2 linked regions of the Macaca fascicularis genome follow. The main gene of each other region encodes a partner of the protein of the gene in region 2 in a complex. Links are inferred from orthologs where the notes say so. Each region holds a gene or a part of one and is shown on either strand. Other genes may lie near its edges. The genes, in order: POLD4 and DNA polymerase delta catalytic subunit.

Region 1 (8,213 bases), on a different chromosome or scaffold from region 2:
CTCACTCCGGGGATCTCATCCACTGTTGCGGCTTTCAAGGCCATCTAAAAGATTCCCAAGTTTATATTTTAAACCTAGAATGCCTCAGAATCCGAGACTTACATATCCACTGCCTATACCCCGTGTCCCCTTGGAAGTGGCACAGATACTTCAGCATGTCTAAGATGGATCTCCAGATTCCCACCCCACCCTTCCCACAAGTTTTCCCATCTTAGTAATGAGAACTCTGTCCTTCCAGTCACCCAAACCAAAACCTTTGGAGTTATCCTTGGCTCCTGCCTCTTAAATCCCACAGTCCTATAGGCAAGTCCTGCCAGTCAGCTCTTCCTTCAAAATACAGAGTGTACCTGGCCACTTCACCTCCTCATGCTGGTCCAGATCAAGCTCAACTCTCATGAGGCCAACTTCAGAGGCCTCCTGAGTGGTTTTGCTACCTCTGTTTTCCCCAGCTCCACAATCTTGTTTTCCACCAACAGAGTAATGTTTTCTAAACATCAGCTGACTCTGTCATTTATTGACCTCAAGCCCTCCAGTATCTTCCCCTCTCACTCAGAATCAAATCCAGATTTCTTATCATGGCCCTAGGGACCAGCCTGTTGCCTGTCTTCTCTCAATTCCCACTACCCTTCCTTGCTCCCTGGGCCCCAGCCTCACTGGCCTCCTCAGTGCCTTTCCTGGAACAGGCTGGAAACACTCCTCCCTCAGGGAGCTTCTCCTTGTTGCTCCTTCTGTCTGGAACACTCAGGTGCAGACCTTGCTCCCTTCCTTTCTTCAGGTCTCTGCTCAAATGCCACCTTAGCAGAGGGCCTTCCCTGACCAGTCTCTCTAACATAGCGCCCTGGCATCCTTGGACCCTTTCTGATCTCAACTCTGATTTTGCTTACTACTGACTGCTACCTGACATAATTAACTTACGTGTTTGTTTTTGTCCATCTCCTGACCATTAGTAACACCCCAAGGGGACCTTTGGTGCCTGGCACATAGTGAGTGCTCAGCAGCTGGGTGGGAGCTGTGGCATAGACTGGAAGAGCTTAATGCAAGTGGCCCCTGGTCACTGCACTGCCTCTTGCCTGCTGTGTGCTTTTGGACAACTTTACTTAACCTTTCTTAGTTTCAGTTCCCCTCTCGGTAAAACTTACCTGGAAGGTTTTTTAGGAGGATTCGAGATAATACATTTAAAGTACCCGAAACATGATCAGTGCTCAGTAAGACAGGGGCTACGCAGGCCACTTAGCTGCTCTCTAGGCCTGTTTCCAACAAGTTACTAGTGCTGCCTCCATCTGCCCCCAGGATGGAGGGCTGCTACAGTAGATGAAGGTAATGCTACAGAAGCAGTTACTGACTCTATTCTCCATGTCATACCCTGACCCCGGGTCTCCTGAGCATTGTTTCTGGCTCCAGCCAGTTCTCCATCCCCCAGCACCGTCAGTTTCTTTTTTCTTTTTTTTTGAGACAGAGTCTTGCTTAGTTGCCCAGGCTGGAGTGCAGTGGTGTGATCTCGGCTCACTGCAAGCTCCGCTTCCTGGGTTCATGCCATTCTTCTGCCTCAGCCTCTCAAGTAGCTGGGACTACAGGCGCCCGCCACCATGCCCGGCTAATTTTTTGTATTTTTAGTAGAGATGGGGTTTCACCGTGTTAGCCAGGATAGTCTCGATCTCTTGACCTCGTGATCCATCCGCCTTGGCCTCCCAAAGTGCTGGGATTATAGGCGTGAGCCACTGTGCCCAGCCTTTTTTTTTTTTTTTTTTTTTTTTTTTTTTTTTTTTGAGGAGTCTCCCTCTGTCACCCAGGCTGGAGTGCAGTGGCACAGTATCAGCTCACTGCCAGCTCTGCCTCCCGGGTTCACACCATTCTCCTGCCTCAGCCTTCTGAGTAGCTGGAACTACAGGCGCTTGTCACCACACCCGGCTAATTTTTTGTATTTTTAGTAGAGACAGGGTTTCACCTTGTTAGCCATGATGGTCTCCATCTCTTGACCTCGTGATCCGCCCGCCTGGGCCTCCCAAAGTGCTGGAATTACAGGCGTGAGCCACCATGCCCAGCCATCAATTTCTTACCAAAGCCCCTCAGATGATGGCCATGTCTGAGCAGGTCCTGCAAGTTGAGACCCTCCCCAGCCCTGCTTTGATCAAGGTGGTCCCTGATGTGGGAAGCCTGAGGTGCTTGCTGGGAATGTATAGATATGTTTGGACTTCATGCGCCATGGACCCCAAAGGTCCTTCTCTGGCAAAGCACCCATGTTTGTGAAGTGGGCACTGCTTAGCAAGCCAGGTGGCTGGCGGGTCAGGTAGGTTTTTCCTGGCTGCTCCAGGAAGGTGAGTCGTGAGTAGTTTCCCTGTGGGCCACCAGGGGGCACCAGAGGTCGCTCAGCTCTTAGAGGACTTGATCCGTCTCTTAAGCTGTCTATGTCTTCTTCCTCTCAGGCCTAGGACTTTCTTGAAGGAAAAGAACTGTGGTGGTGGTTCTCCCATCTCCTAACTTGCTAGGGACTGCCAGTCAAAGCAGGGCCACAGTAAAGGACTGAAGGTCAGGATTCCAGGCTTAATATTCTTTATTGGTAAGCATTAGTGAACCCCTTGCCCTGGGAGCTCAGCCAGTCCTGCTCTGATTCCTAGCCATAGGTGGGACAGCATCTTTGCCTCATGGATCAACTGTCCACGTCTGGCTGTGCCTAACTTGCCACACCATGGGTCAGGGAGACAGGCAGCAGGTACTGGAAGGTGATGGCCAGGTCCTTTTCCCCAGTGACCACTCTCCATCTAGAAGCACTCTGCTTCAGCTGCACAGGCTCTTCCAGGGGGGCTCTGAGAGCCTGCTGGTTAGATGGAGGAGTTGAGCCTCTGACACCTCCAGGTTCTGCCTGCCAAGGGTTCCTCCGCAGCGGGGCTGAGCTGAGCAGGAGCAATGGGCTCTTGCTTCTGTCCTGAGATTCTTGGGTGATTAGCAAGAGAGCCAAGGGCAGGAGGTCATACGTGGTGCCTCATAGGGGATAGAGATGCCAGAGGCTGTAGAAGATGGGGTGGGAGGGAGGGATATCCCAGAGAGAGAGAGAAAGAGAGAGAGAGAGAGAGAGAGAGAGAGAAAGGGTCAGTTGTTGAGTCCCTGGATCTGATTTCACCAGCTATTCTTGGCCATGCCCATAGTCCTTGGGAAACCCCTTGGTTCTAAATAGATAGTTCCTTGGTTCCTGGGTGTACCTTTGCCCCCGACTAGCTTGTGGAGGTAAGAATTATTGGCCGGGTGCGGTGGCTCATGCCTGTAATCCCAGCACTTTGGGAGGTCGAGGCGGGTGGATCACGAGGTCAGGAGATCAAGACCATCCTGGCTAACACAGTGAAACCCCATCTCTACTAAAAATACAAAAACAAAATTAGCCGGGCGTGGTGGCGGGCGCCTGTAGTCCCAGCTACTCGGGAGGCTGAGGCAGGAGAATGGCGGGAACCCGGGAGGCGGAGCTTGCAGTGAGCCAAGATCGCGCCACTACACTCCAGCCTGGGCGACAGAGCGAGACTCTGTGTCAAAAAAAAAAAAGAATTATTACAGTAGCGTGTCCTCCTTCTTGCCTGTTCAGCAAGGCCCTTCAACCCTCCATCCATTTCTCCCTCAGGTCAGGAGAGCAGGGTGACGGTGCCTGGAGAAGGCCCTGGCTCCCCTGAAAGCCCTCCCGGCCTGTCTCTGACCTGCACTGGAAGCGGGGGTCTCCGGGGTGGGTCTTCAGCACCTCCCACACCTCTGGGGGAGGCTCCAAGCCCATCTGCTTGGCCCGACACCAGCGCTGCAGCCGTGTGATCCCTGCCAGGGTAGGAAGAAGACTCTGGAGCCTTGTTGGGGGTGGGGTAGAGTCTGAGCTGGAGAATGTGTGTGTTCAGGGGAGACAGTGCCTGAGGGTCAGAGTCACGCAAGCGCTTGGGTGACTTCAGAGACGTGTGGGTGACGGGACTGGCTGGGAGAGGCACCTCCGTGGGGCTGGGTGGGTTCTCACCGGTGCAGGGCCCGTACTGCCAGGCCAGGTCAAACTGCCTCAGCAGCTCCAGCTCCGCTTCCTCCTCGTCGCGGGGCTGGGGCTCCTCCCCTGCAATGACAGCTGCTCTTCAGTGCGAGGCTGGCCTCAGTCTCCTGCCCCTCACCTCCCAGCCTTCCTCACCACCCCTTTGCCTCTGCCACCCCGCAGCTAGACCTGGTGTCGGGAGGGGAGGACAGGCCACCTTTCCCCTTCCATCTGCCCCTCTGCCCACGTCCTCTAGGCCCCTCCGTGTCCACTCCTCCTGCCTCCCTCACACGTCAGAGACCTAGCTCGGATGCCAGCTCCCCCTTGCTGTGCCCAGCGGGCCCCTCCCTCCTCTTCACAACCGGGTAGGAATCAGTGATGAGCCGCTTCCGGCCCATGGCGGCCACCCAGGCAGGCAGAGGAAGGAGGCGACTGCGGGGAAGAGGAGAGACCGGCCAGTGGGCGCGAGAAAGACAGCTGCTGAGAGAGACAGACGGGGCCAGGCCAGCGGCAGGCAGACAAGATGACCCAGACAAACCGAGAGAGGAAGTCGCTGGGGTCCAGGGAGGGACGCCTCCCCCACCCCAACAAGGGCGCAAACAGGAAAGACTTCAGCCAATGGCAGGACGCCTCTGTGGGGCGGGGCCCTGGCGCTAGCCAATGGTAGGCAGTGTAGGGTGAGGGGTGGGGCGGTGCCACAGCTGTGGGCTGCGGGAGGAGGGGCAGGCTGGGGCGGGGGACCTGTCAGGATGCCCCTACTTCACCACCTCCCCCGGCCCCCATTGGTCTGCTGTGGGTCCCGAGAGACTTGAAGAGAGTTATCCTCAGCCTCTCACTTCCCGTTTTCCCTTCCTAGGCAAATGTTCTTTTCAGCTTCGCTAATCCCCGTGGCCAGTTTGTAACTCCCTAGAGCCCAGCTGGAGCCTTCACTCGGTCCTTTGGCCCGCCCAGCGTTGTGGGGGCAGGTTTGGAGGTCTGAAGAGAGTTTGGTCTAATCCAGGCCCCTTCCCTGCTCCCACCCAACCCCCACCGGCCCCAGGAGACCTGGCTGGAGAAGCCCATGGGTTCTGAAACCTCCTTTCTCACAGTCTGTGCCCAAAGATGCTGCCCACTCTTAGTCCGAGTAAGTGTTTGCTGTTTTGGCTCTCCTGGGGTCCCAAGTCCTGCCCCACCCGCCCCACCAGTCAGGAAGATTCCATACTGGAAGGCAGAGCAAGGGTCTGGTTCCCCCACCACAATGGGTTTTGATCCCCAGTTCTTCATTGGCAAAATCTGCCCTCTCACAATAATGTGAATCTGAGCAGAAAATATTAACAGTAAACCTAACACTCATGTTGCACATACCATGTGCCAAGTACTGTTCTAAGCACTTTCCCACATATTAATTAAAAGAGATGTCAAAAAGTTTTTGAAAGTAGGAAGTATAGCTCAATGATTATCACTGCCGAGAGTCACAGGCATTGCAGGGCCCCAGTCGAACCACAGTCTGTCTTGGGCCCAGGAGCTCACTGTCACAAGGCAGACAGATGTACAGTTGTCAGTGAGAGGCTATAATTCCTACCAGAAGAGGAAAAGGGTGGGTCAGAGATTGGTTAGGACCACAGGGATGATTAGCATTGGAAGGCCTCCTGGAGGAGGTGGACTGCTGTAAACAATGTCTCTCAATTCTCCACCCATGACCTTTGTCCCTTGGGCTCCTGTCATCACTGACTCATCCATACTGCTGCCTCCCCCTCATCAACTTCCTGGCAGGAGGCAAAAGTACTGGCCAGTGGGAGTCTGGGAACCAGCACAGGGACCAGCCCAGCTCTAATCACCCTCCAGAGATCCCATCCGGTTCTTCCTTCCAGGGATACTGGGAGGGTGGGGCACAGACTCCTGGGCTGCCGCCTGCTCAGAAGCCTCTGCCGCCTCCTTTCCCTGCTCTGGGGTCTGGGTGCTCTGCACTGGAAGAGGGCTAAGCCACTGGTACTTGTGGGCACAAGGGAGGAAGCTGCTCTGGAGAGGAGACCACCAAAGGGGAAGTACAGGAGCAGGCCATGTCTTCAGGGTCCACGTCCTGCCTGGCTCCCCCCATCGGCGTCCTGGAGGAGGGCTGGTGGAGGAGGGAGCTTGTCAGGGCACTGCATGGAGCTGGAGGGCCCTTTCTGCTGTATTGTTTGGGCTGGGCCTATTCTAATCCCCCCATCTGCCTTGTGAACTAAGTGGGGCCCACATTCAGGGAGACAGTGTCCTTGCGGAGTTGGGGATGGAAGCAGGGAGGCCCTCTCTACCAGGGCTGGGGAGGGCCTAGGTGCTGAGTCCAGTCAGGCACTGAGTATGCTAGGTAGGGATGGCATATAGGCTCTGGGGGATTGATTACCCCCTCCCCAGAGGGCCTCAGCAAGGGTTCCTGGGCTGTTTCTAGAGGTGTGTGGCACCCACCTCCTGAGTCCAAGCCCTGAGGGATAGGGAGCCATGGGTGGGGCAGACCCCTCCTCATTCCCAAGTCCCTCCTACCCCTGAAAGCTGATAGCCGTGGGGCCCTGCCACCGCCCAGGGAGCGTGAAATGGGGTGTGCTGCTGGGCAGCCACAGCAGCTCCTGCCGCCGCCTGGGACTATTGCCTTTTCTCCTTGGGTAGCCTCTGGCATCCTGAGCTACTCTGTAGATGTTGGCTGGGCTGTCCCCGCCAGCTTCCCCAGCTTTGCCTGGCTCAGGCACCCACCCAGCCTGGAAGATGTCTCCCTCAGCCTTCAGCTACCCCCAGACCCAAGAAAAAGATTCAGAGTGGTCAGCTCAAGTGCAGGCACCCTAGGCCTGGCTTTCTGGCTTGGAGTTGAGGGAACTCTCTGCAAGCAGCATTGCTGTTCTCTCCTAAATGGCAGTGGGGTTGGGCCCCCAGGGAAGAGTTGGCACCTAGGGATTTTGGAACCATCCCTGTCCAACTGGCATTCCCTGACTCAGCACCTGGATTCCTAAGGTGCACAGCTGACTAGGCTGGACCTTGGCCTTTCCATCCTCAGGTCTTTTTCCTTCTTTGCTCTCCAACCCTATCCACCTTCTGTACCTTCTTGCCTAGAATCCCTTCCCCTACTCAGGCAGCATCCTGGCCTCATTCCCTAAACTGCTGTCCTGGAGCCTGTTCAGGCTTCAGGCTGGATGGCCAGGCCAGAGGTCTGGGTTGGGTGCTGAGTTCTCTCTCCCTGCGGGAATGTCCTGAGACCCTTATGTCAGCCCGGACACCCAGAGGCTGGTGATGAGACTAGTAGGAGTGACCTTTGCACCTCAGCCTGGTAATAATACCCAACACCCTTGCTTCAGGGCCAAGTCCAGAGTCCTGGGGGTCCAGGAGAGAAAAGAACTGAAACAGGAACCCAGCACCTTCCCAGGGGATGAGGCCCACCGCTGACTGCACTCAAGGGAAGAAGGATTAGGTCCGGCTTAGCTCAGACAATGTGGCAGGATGGGGGCCTCAGCACTGTGCCTGCATTCCCTTCCCCCTCATCACCATGAGGTTTGTGGGGAGAGCAAGGTAGAGCTGGGAAGGTGGAGGCAGGTGGAGAGAGGGGAGCAGCTGCCTGGGGCCCAGTGGGCTGTGGGATGGATCCAGCTCTTCTTCCCTCTCGCCGGTACCCTCCTTCCTCAGGCCCTTGGGCTCTGCCACCTACCCTGAGCTGGAAGTCAGTCCCACTCAGGAGATTCTGGGCAGCCAGAATACCCCTGGCCCCGCCCCCAACATACTCACACCCCGTGGGCCCCATTCCTCACCCTGTGGGCCAGAATCCTTTTAGGCAGTCATTCCTGGCCCCTCACTACCCTCCCAGACACTCCCTCTTCTCCTGGTCCAGGTTCTCTGGCCTAATGTGCTTCCATGGCAGCAGCTTGAGGGCAGAGGAAGGAGTCTCTGGGTTTTTTTTGTCACTGCTGTCTTCTGTCCTGCTCCTACCACCCTCCACACATCCTTCTGTAGTCACCTCCTCTTTCACTTTGGCCATCCAGGCTCTGGAGCAGTTCTGGGAAGACTTGAAAAGGGGCCTTCTGGCCATTCCTCACCTTGGCCACCAGGTGTCAGACTTTGCCCAGTTGGGTGGGAGGAAGGTTCTAGTTAACCATTTCCACCCCATCAGCCTGGCCTCAGAGAGAGATCTGGGCAAGTTGGGGAGGAGCCTAGAGCTGACTGCTGAACTGGCAAGGCTGAGGCACCCTGAAAGTTGAGACTGGAAAAAGAACTGGAACTCGGGCCC
Region 2 (7,766 bases):
TTATGTTCCTTTTTCTTTCCTTTGTAATCTTTTCCTGAAATCATTCAGTATTTTTTTTTAAGAGACTCCTGAAATGATTCAATATTTCTTTTTCTTTCTTTTTTTTTTTTTTAAGAAACAGGAGGCCAAGCGTGGTGACTCACACCTGTAATCCCAGCACTTTGGAAGGCTGAGGCAGGTGGATCACCTGAGGTCAGGAGTTCAAGACCAGCCTGGCCAACATGGTGAAACCCCATCTCTACTAAAAATACAAAAATTAGCCAGGCGTGGTGGCAGGCACCTGTGATCCCAGCTACTCAGGAGGCTGAGGCAGGAGAATCACTTAAACCTGGGAGGCAGAGGTTGCAGTGAGCCAAGATTGCGCCACTGCACTCTAGCCTGGGCGACAGAGCGAGACTCCATCTCAAAATACACAAACAAAAACTAAAAGAGACAGGGTCTCAACTCTGTCACCCAGAATGGGGTGCAGTGATGCCATCAGAGCTCACTGTAACTCAAACTGCTGGGTTCAAGTCATCTTCCCATCTCAGCCTCCTGAGTAGCTGCAACTCTAGGCATGAGCCACCACCACGCCTGCCTGGTTTTGTTTGGTTGTATTTTTTGTAGAGACAGGGCTTCACTATGTTGCCCAGGCTGGTATCCAACCCCTGGCCTCAAGTGATCCTCCCTCCTCAGTGTCACAAAGTGTTGGGATTACAGGCGTGAACCACTGTGATTCATTATTATTATTATTATTATTATCATTTTTTTTTTTTTTTTTGAGACGGTGTTTCGCTCTGTTGCCTAGGCTGGAGTGCAGTGGTGCAACCTTGGCACACTGTAAGCTCCGCCTCCCGGGTTCAAGCAATTGTCCCACCTCAGCCTCCTGAGTAGCTGGGATTACAGGCATCTGCCACCATTCCTGGCTAATTTTTTGTATTTTTAGTAGAGACGGGGTTTCACCGTGTTAGCCAGGATGGTCTTGATCTCCTGACCTCGTGATCCGCCCGTCTCGGCCTCCCAAAGTGCTGGGATTACAGGCTTGAGCCACCGCGCCCGGCCTAGCCAGGCTGGTCTTGAACTCCTGACCTCGTGATCCGCCTGCCTTGGCCTCCTAAAGCGCTGGGATTACAGGTGTGAGCCACTGCGCCTGGCCCACTGCATTTTTATTATTCCACCTCTTGCTCCCATAAGCTTGAGAGACAGAAATAAGGAAAGAGGTCAAGAGACAGAAACAGAACAGTGACAGAGGGAAGCAGCTGAGAGAGAAAAGACAGAGACACCAGATTGGTAAGAGGCAGTCCCAGGGGAGGGCCAAACCGTGCTCTCTTGGCCTGGCCTCTGCTTCAGGGCTGGAGCCTGATGTCCACACAGCCACCCCCTTCCACGAAGAGGCTGGGGAGGCAGCTGGGGACTGTGAAAGGCGGAGGGCAGTTGGGGGCATGCAGTGAGCGATTCACTTTGTGCAAAGAAAGGTCTGGCTCTTGCCTGGCTCCTGGAAGTCGAAGCCCCTAGAATATCCTGCCTGATAACATTGTCTCTGTTCCAGCCTGGGCAACATGGTGAGACCCCATCTCTACAAAAAATAACAAAAATAGGTGGTGCGTGCCTGCAGTTCCAGCCACTTGGGAGGCTAAGGTGGGAGGCTCACTTGAGTCCGGGAGGTTGAGGCTGCCATGAGCCCGTGACTGTGCCACTGCACTCCAGCCTGGGTGACAGAGTGAGACTGTCTCAAAAAAAAAAAAAAAAAAAAAAAAAAAAAGGTGTCTGTGTACCTGCGACTTTGAACCACACCAGGCAGTTGGCACTAACATGGTTTATGGTGAAGCCCTGGGCCATGCAGTATCAGTTTGACCTCTGGGGGTTGCTGAGGGGCCTGGGGATGATGGAGTCACTACGGCCAGTCACAGGGTGCTCCATGCCTACAGGAATGACACCCAAGAAAAACCCTGGACCCCAAAGCTTGGGTGAGAGCCTCGGGTTGGCAATGCTGCGTGTGTGTGGCCATGCATCAACGCTAGGAGAAAGGAGGGCCATCCCGTAACTCTACTGGGAGAGCACAACTGGAAGACACGCCTGGTCCCTCCGACACCCTGCCCTGTGCACCTCTTTCCTTTGCTGAGTTTAATCTGTGTCCTTTCGCTGTATTAAATCATAGCCATGAGAACCAGCTTTTCTGAGCTCTCTGAGTACTTCTAGTGAATCACTGAACCTGAGTGGTCTTTGGGCCCCAGAACTGCGGGTGGGTGTGTGTGTGCAAAGGCCCCACCCACTGAGAATTCATCTAAGCCTTCCACCCAGAGCCCTGTGAAAACTGACGCAGTGCCCAGCCAGGGAGGGAGTTCCCCGTGGCTAGAGGTAACCAAGCAGAGCGGCACAGCTACTGGCCTGGAATGGGCCAAGACCCAAGTCCCAGTGGAGAAGGCTGGACAGGAAGACCCTTCCGAGGTCCTCAGATGCCAGGAGCTGAGGCACTGACCCCAGCTTGGCAAAGTCTTGGAAACTCAGGCCCTCTGTGCTTTCAAAGAATCTGTTTTTCTGTCCAAGCAGCAGAGCTGCCGTGGGTAGGCAGGCCGGGATGCTGCCGTGAGGACGGTGAATGGCTTCCCTCCCCACGTCCCTTGGCCTCTGCGTGAGTGCTGCCTACTGAGAGTGGTGAGTCCTGCCCAGCCCCATCACTCCCCGCCAAGTCCACACCTCCCGCTTTATCCGGCTGCAAAGCTTGTAGCTCCACTTGTGTCCTGAACACATTTACCACGGACCTGTCAGTGTCCCCACTGGGCTGCGAGCTGACAGGGAAAGGGACTCTCATCCACTGTGTCCCCCTCTGTATCCCCAGGGCACAGAGCCCTGACCAGTGTGTGCTCAGGAGGCATTTGCTGAGTGAATGAATGGACCAATTGCTCAAGCCACGCTGGCATCCTCTCTCTAGAAGGCCAGTGAGTTGGGGTGTCCAGTCCTCTGGATACAGGTCCCCAACATGGAGCCCTGGTCTCCTACACAGGGGGCCCACCTGCCCCCAGTTGCCTGCCAGGGGCCTGAGTGCTCACCTGTGAGATCTCCAGGCATGGCAACTTGCCCACCTGGGCGCCGGTGAAGCCATATACGGAGTTGGCGCTCACCTTCAGCGCCAGCTGCCGTCCATCCAGGACCTGGCGCCGCAGGGGGTCTGTCTCCTTGGCCAGCTCGGCCTTGGCCCTGCGAGGGAACACAGGTAAAGCACACTCAGGTGGCGCCCGGGCACTGGTCAGGGCTCCTTTCTGGAAGTGGGTGCCATGTACAGTTGGGCGTGCTGTGCACTGCACAGAAGCTTTTGGCCAAGGGGGCGAAAGGAAGCTGCCAGGAGGGGATGCCGTGTGCTAATTCACACACAGCTGTGGGCAGGGTGGCCGGACAGCCCTGGGGTGTCCCAGTGAGGGACAGGGATTGCCCAGAGGCCCCAGCAGGTCTGAGCTCCAAGCAGGGGATCTCCAGGGCTCACCTCTTCCGGGCGCTGAGCAGGTTCTCCAGGATCTGGGGCAGCAGCCCCTTCCGCACTGAGGTCTTCACAAACTCGTCCCCGGTGGGCGTCTTGATGAACTGATCCTCAGTCAGGCTGGGTTGGAAGACAGCGGGGTGACTGCCGGTCACCCTCCTCCTCCAGCCCCACCTCTGCCCTACGGTCCTGGCCTTGGCCATGAGCACATGCAGGCCCCTCAAGCAACCCTTCACTCCCCACTATCTCTGGGCCTGTGCCTATCTCCCCCCGCCAGACTCAGCCCCTCAAGGGAGGGCCCCGGTGGGCCTCGGGGGACACGTGCTGAATTGGGCACCATACCCCAGTTTCTGCGCAGCCCCGGGCCGCAGGAGCGTGGTGTAGCACAGGTTGTGGGCCATCATGATGGACGGGTACAGCGAGGAGAAGTCCAGGGTGGCGATGGGGACATCGTAGTACCTGGGAGGGGAGCAGCCACGGTGGGGAGTCAGGGCTAGAAGTTCCCATGCCGCCCCCTGCCCTGTCTTGTGGCCTCACCCTTTAAAAAAAAAAAAAAAAAAAAAAAATCATTCATTGGCTGGGAGCAGTGCTCCCTCCTGTAATCCCAGCACTTTGGGAGGCTGAGGCAGGAGGATCGCTTGAACTCAGGGGTTCCAGACCAGCCTGGGCAACATGGCAAATCCCCATGTCTACAAAAAATTTTAAAAAATTAGCTAGGTGTGGTGGTGCATGCCTGTGGTCCCAGCTACTCAGGGGCCGGAAGCAGGAGGATCGCTTGAGCCTGGGAGGTGGAGTAAGCCAAGATGGTGCCACTGCACTCCATCATGGGTAACAGAGTGAGACCTTGCCTCAAAAAAATAAAAATAAAAAAATAAAATATATATAAAATGAATTAATCTACTCTTTTATTTTATTTATTTATTTTATTATTATTTTGTTTTTTTGTTTTTTTTTTTTTTTTGAGACGGAGTCTCACTCTGTCGCCCAGGCTGGAGTGCAGTGGCCGGATCTCAGTTCACTGCAAGCTCCACCACCGGGTTCACACCATTCTCCTGCCTCAGCCTCCAGAGTAGCTGGTATTACAGGCGCCTGCCACCACGCCCGGCTAATTTTTTTGTATTTTTAGTAGAGACAGGGTTTCATAGTGTTAGGATGGTCTTGATCTCCTGACCTCGTGATCCGCCCGCCTCGGCCTCCCAAAGTGTGGGAATTACAGGCGTGAGCCACCGTGGGCCTGGCTCATTTAAAAAATTTTTTGTGGGGCAGGGATCTCACTATGTTGCCCCGGCTGTTCTCAAACTCCTGAGCTCAAGTGATCCTCCCACCTCAGCCTCCTAGAGATTACAGGTACAAACTGCACCCAGCCTGGGGCCTCACCCTTTGAGGGGCTCGATGACAGTGGCTCCCGTGTAGTCCTCACCGCCCTCCGACCTCACCACGGGCATCAGCAGCCCCTCGTGCATGGCCTGGGAGGGGAGAAGGTGGAAAACGGAGTGGGTATAGGTGGGGCCGTGAGGATTGGGAGCGGGGAGAAAAAGTGCATCCAGGATGCCATCGCCGGGAGGGGACCAGAGACGTGCCTGGTGGGGAGTGGTGAGGACAGGTCTCGGCTACTGACCTGCCGCAATAGCTGGGATACGACCTTGACCTGCTGACCACGGCTGAGCAGGTAGCTGAGGGGCACGCCAGTGACCCTCGCCATCTCCACGGCGTTCACCAGCACCATGAGCCGCTCCAGCAGCCGCAGCGGCAGATAGGCGTCCTTCAGGCAGTACACGGCCAGGCGGCGGCGGGTCTGGTCGTTCCCATTCTGGGGATGGGCACAGATGGGGTCAGGGACCAGGAGTTGGGGGTGGGAGGCGGCGCAGGACGATGAAGTGGGGGTCAGGGTGAGGTAGCCTGGAGAGGGCCTGGGAGGGCCGGGCAGGGGCAGCCTCCAAGCTATCAAGGTCTGGGTGGGGATGGAGGTAGTGTTGGGGGTCAGGGAGTCCACAGGGTCAGAGGGAGGAGGAGGGAGCAGCCTGAAGACCATTGTGGACCTGTGATCAGGCCTGGAAAGCGGAGCCAAGGTCATAGTAACAGGTTACAGGAGTGGAGAGAAATCTGGGGTCTGAGGTCAGAAAAAGGTGGGTGGCAGGTAAGGTCACAGGTCATAACAGCGGGTCAAAAAGTGAAGTCAGACGTGGGGGTGTGAAGTTGAGGTCAGGGGCTGGGGAAGGGTGAGGTGGGGGTCAGAGGTCAGAGGTCGGGGGGAGAGGTCAGGGAGGCAGCAGGCACCTGCAGGTCGGTGATGATGCTGTGCTGCACATCCTCCTTCTGCTCGCCCAGGAAGTGGAAGCTCACGGCATTGAGCGTGTAGGAGCGGAGCTTGTACTCCCGCAGCAGCACCTAGGTGGGTGGATGGGCTGCTCGGCTACAGGCCTGGGCAGTGGCCTCCCGAGGACAGGGACACACCCCTCCTCCCGCCTGGCCCAGCTGTACCTGCAGCATGTCCATCTGCACACGGCCCACCATGCTAACCACCTTGGTGTCCCGCCGGCCCGTCTGCTTGGACTGGAATGATGAGTCCCGGATGTTGGAGCGAAGGCCGGCCACACGGCCCAGGAAAGGGAATGTTTGTACCTGGCGGGGGAGAGGCAGGGTATGCAGCGGGTCCCCAGTGTCACATCAGCCAGAGGAACGGAGATCGAGACCGACCACAACCTCCTTATAGCAACCCTCGGGGGTCGAGAGCAACCCCGGGGACAGAAAGAGTCTCGGGCTGGGTGTGGGGGGCTGAAGGCTGAGGAGGGAGTCCGGAGGGAGGACGAAGCTGCATTCGGGGCTGGGACAGGGAGAGTCAGGGGCCCGCATGGACTGGGGGCCAAGGACGGAGCCCAGTGTCTGCGGGCTGCACCTAGGCAGGAAACAGGAAAAGATTTGGGGAAACTGTGAGCAGGCGGCCAGGTTGGGGCAGAGGTAGGAGGTGACGTTGAGCTGGGCTGAGATGGATGCTGAGGGCGCCTTGCAGGGTGCTGGGGCCCAGCCTGGGGGAGACAGGCCAGAAGAAGCCTGAGCTGGGGCCAGGGCAGAGGGTGAGGGGCATCCAGGGAAGGGGAGGAGGAGGCAGTGGCCCGGGCATCAGTGCCACACTGTGGAATGTACAGCTGGAGCCACTGGGGGTCCTAACAGTTTGTTCTGTCTTTTAGAATGGATTTTTTCTTTTTTCCTCTTTAATAGAAACAGAGTCTTGTTATGTTACCCTGGCTGGTCTTGAACTCCTGGGCTCAATCGATCCTCTCGCCTCATCCTCCCAAAGTGCTGGGATTACAGGCATGAGCCACCACACCCAGCCTGTTTTGTTTTTCCATTACCAAGCTGGCCAGACATAGAGAAAAGCAGGAAAATAAGGCAATATACCCTATTAAGGGCTGAACCATGTTCTCCCAAAAGATGTTGAAGTCCTAACCCCCAGTACCTCAGAATATAACCTAATTTGGAAATATGTCTTTGCAGGGGGTCAAGCGAAGATGAGGTCACTGGGGTGGGCACTCATCCATGACGGTGTCACTATACAAAGAGGACATGTGGGCCAGGTGCACTGGTAATCGCAGCACTTTGGGAGGCTGAAGTGGGCAGATCACCTCAGATCGGGAGTTTGAGATCAGCCTGGTCAACATGGAGAAACCCTGTCTCTACTAAGAATATAAAATTAGCCGCGCATGGAGGTGGGTGCCTATAATCCCAGCTATTTGGGAGGCTGAGGCAGGAGAATTGCTTGAACCTGGAAGGTGGAGGTTGTGGTGAGCCGAGATTGTGCCATTGCACTCCAGCCTGGGCAACAAGAGTGAAATTCTGTCTCAAGAAACAACAACAAAAAGGCAAAAATTAGCGGAGTGTGGTGGCATGAGCCTGTAATCCCAGCAACCCGGGAGGCCGACACAGAAGAATCACTTGAACCTGGGAGGCGGAGTTGCAGTGAGCCTCAATCGCTCCATCGCACTCCAGCCTGGGTGACACAGCAAGACTCCACCTCAAAAAAAAAAAAAAAAAAGGGCCGGGAGCGGTGGCTCATGCCTGTAATCCCAGCACTGTGGGAGGCCGAGGCGGGCGGATCACGAGGTCAGGAGATCAAGACCATCCTGGCTAACATGGTGAAACCCCGTCTCAACTAAAAATATAAAAAATTAGCCGGGTGTGGTGGTGGACACTTGTAGTCCCAGCTACTTGGGAGGCTGAGGCAGGAGAATGGCGTGAACCCGGGAGGTGGAGCTTGCAGTGAGCCGAGATCACGCCACTGCACTCCAGCCTGGGCGACAGAGTGAGACTCCGT

What was found.
Region 1: DNA polymerase delta catalytic subunit (region 2) and POLD4 share a complex: the UniProt entries of both Homo sapiens proteins name them as parts of the tetrameric DNA polymerase delta complex. The link is inferred for Macaca fascicularis from reciprocal best matches to the Homo sapiens genes POLD1 and POLD4.

The regions. Positions count from the first base shown.
Region 1 is NC_088388.1:7,020,625-7,028,837, reverse strand, and holds POLD4 (DNA polymerase delta subunit 4), read right to left. Parts: upstream 4,523-8,213; 5' UTR 4,387-4,522; coding exon 4,290-4,386; intron 4,073-4,289; coding exon 3,983-4,072; intron 3,793-3,982; coding exon 3,681-3,792; intron 3,006-3,680; coding exon 2,981-3,005; coding exon of another isoform or gene 2,941-2,980; 3' UTR 2,534-2,940; downstream 1-2,533. UniProt on the Homo sapiens protein: As a component of the tetrameric DNA polymerase delta complex (Pol-delta4), plays a role in high fidelity genome replication and repair.
Region 2 is NC_088393.1:58,312,626-58,320,391, reverse strand, and holds part of DNA polymerase delta catalytic subunit, read right to left. Parts: intron 7,272-7,766; exon of another isoform or gene 7,257-7,271; coding exon of another isoform or gene 7,218-7,256; intron 7,103-7,217; exon of another isoform or gene 6,912-7,102; intron 6,888-6,911; exon of another isoform or gene 6,771-6,887; coding exon of another isoform or gene 6,696-6,770; intron 6,077-6,695; coding exon 5,936-6,076; intron 5,843-5,935; coding exon 5,732-5,842; intron 5,265-5,731; coding exon 5,073-5,264; intron 4,921-5,072; coding exon 4,832-4,920; intron 3,914-4,831; coding exon 3,797-3,913; intron 3,575-3,796; coding exon 3,461-3,574; intron 3,178-3,460; coding exon 3,030-3,177; intron 1-3,029. UniProt on the Homo sapiens protein: As the catalytic component of the trimeric (Pol-delta3 complex) and tetrameric DNA polymerase delta complexes (Pol-delta4 complex), plays a crucial role in high fidelity genome replication, including in lagging strand synthesis, and repair.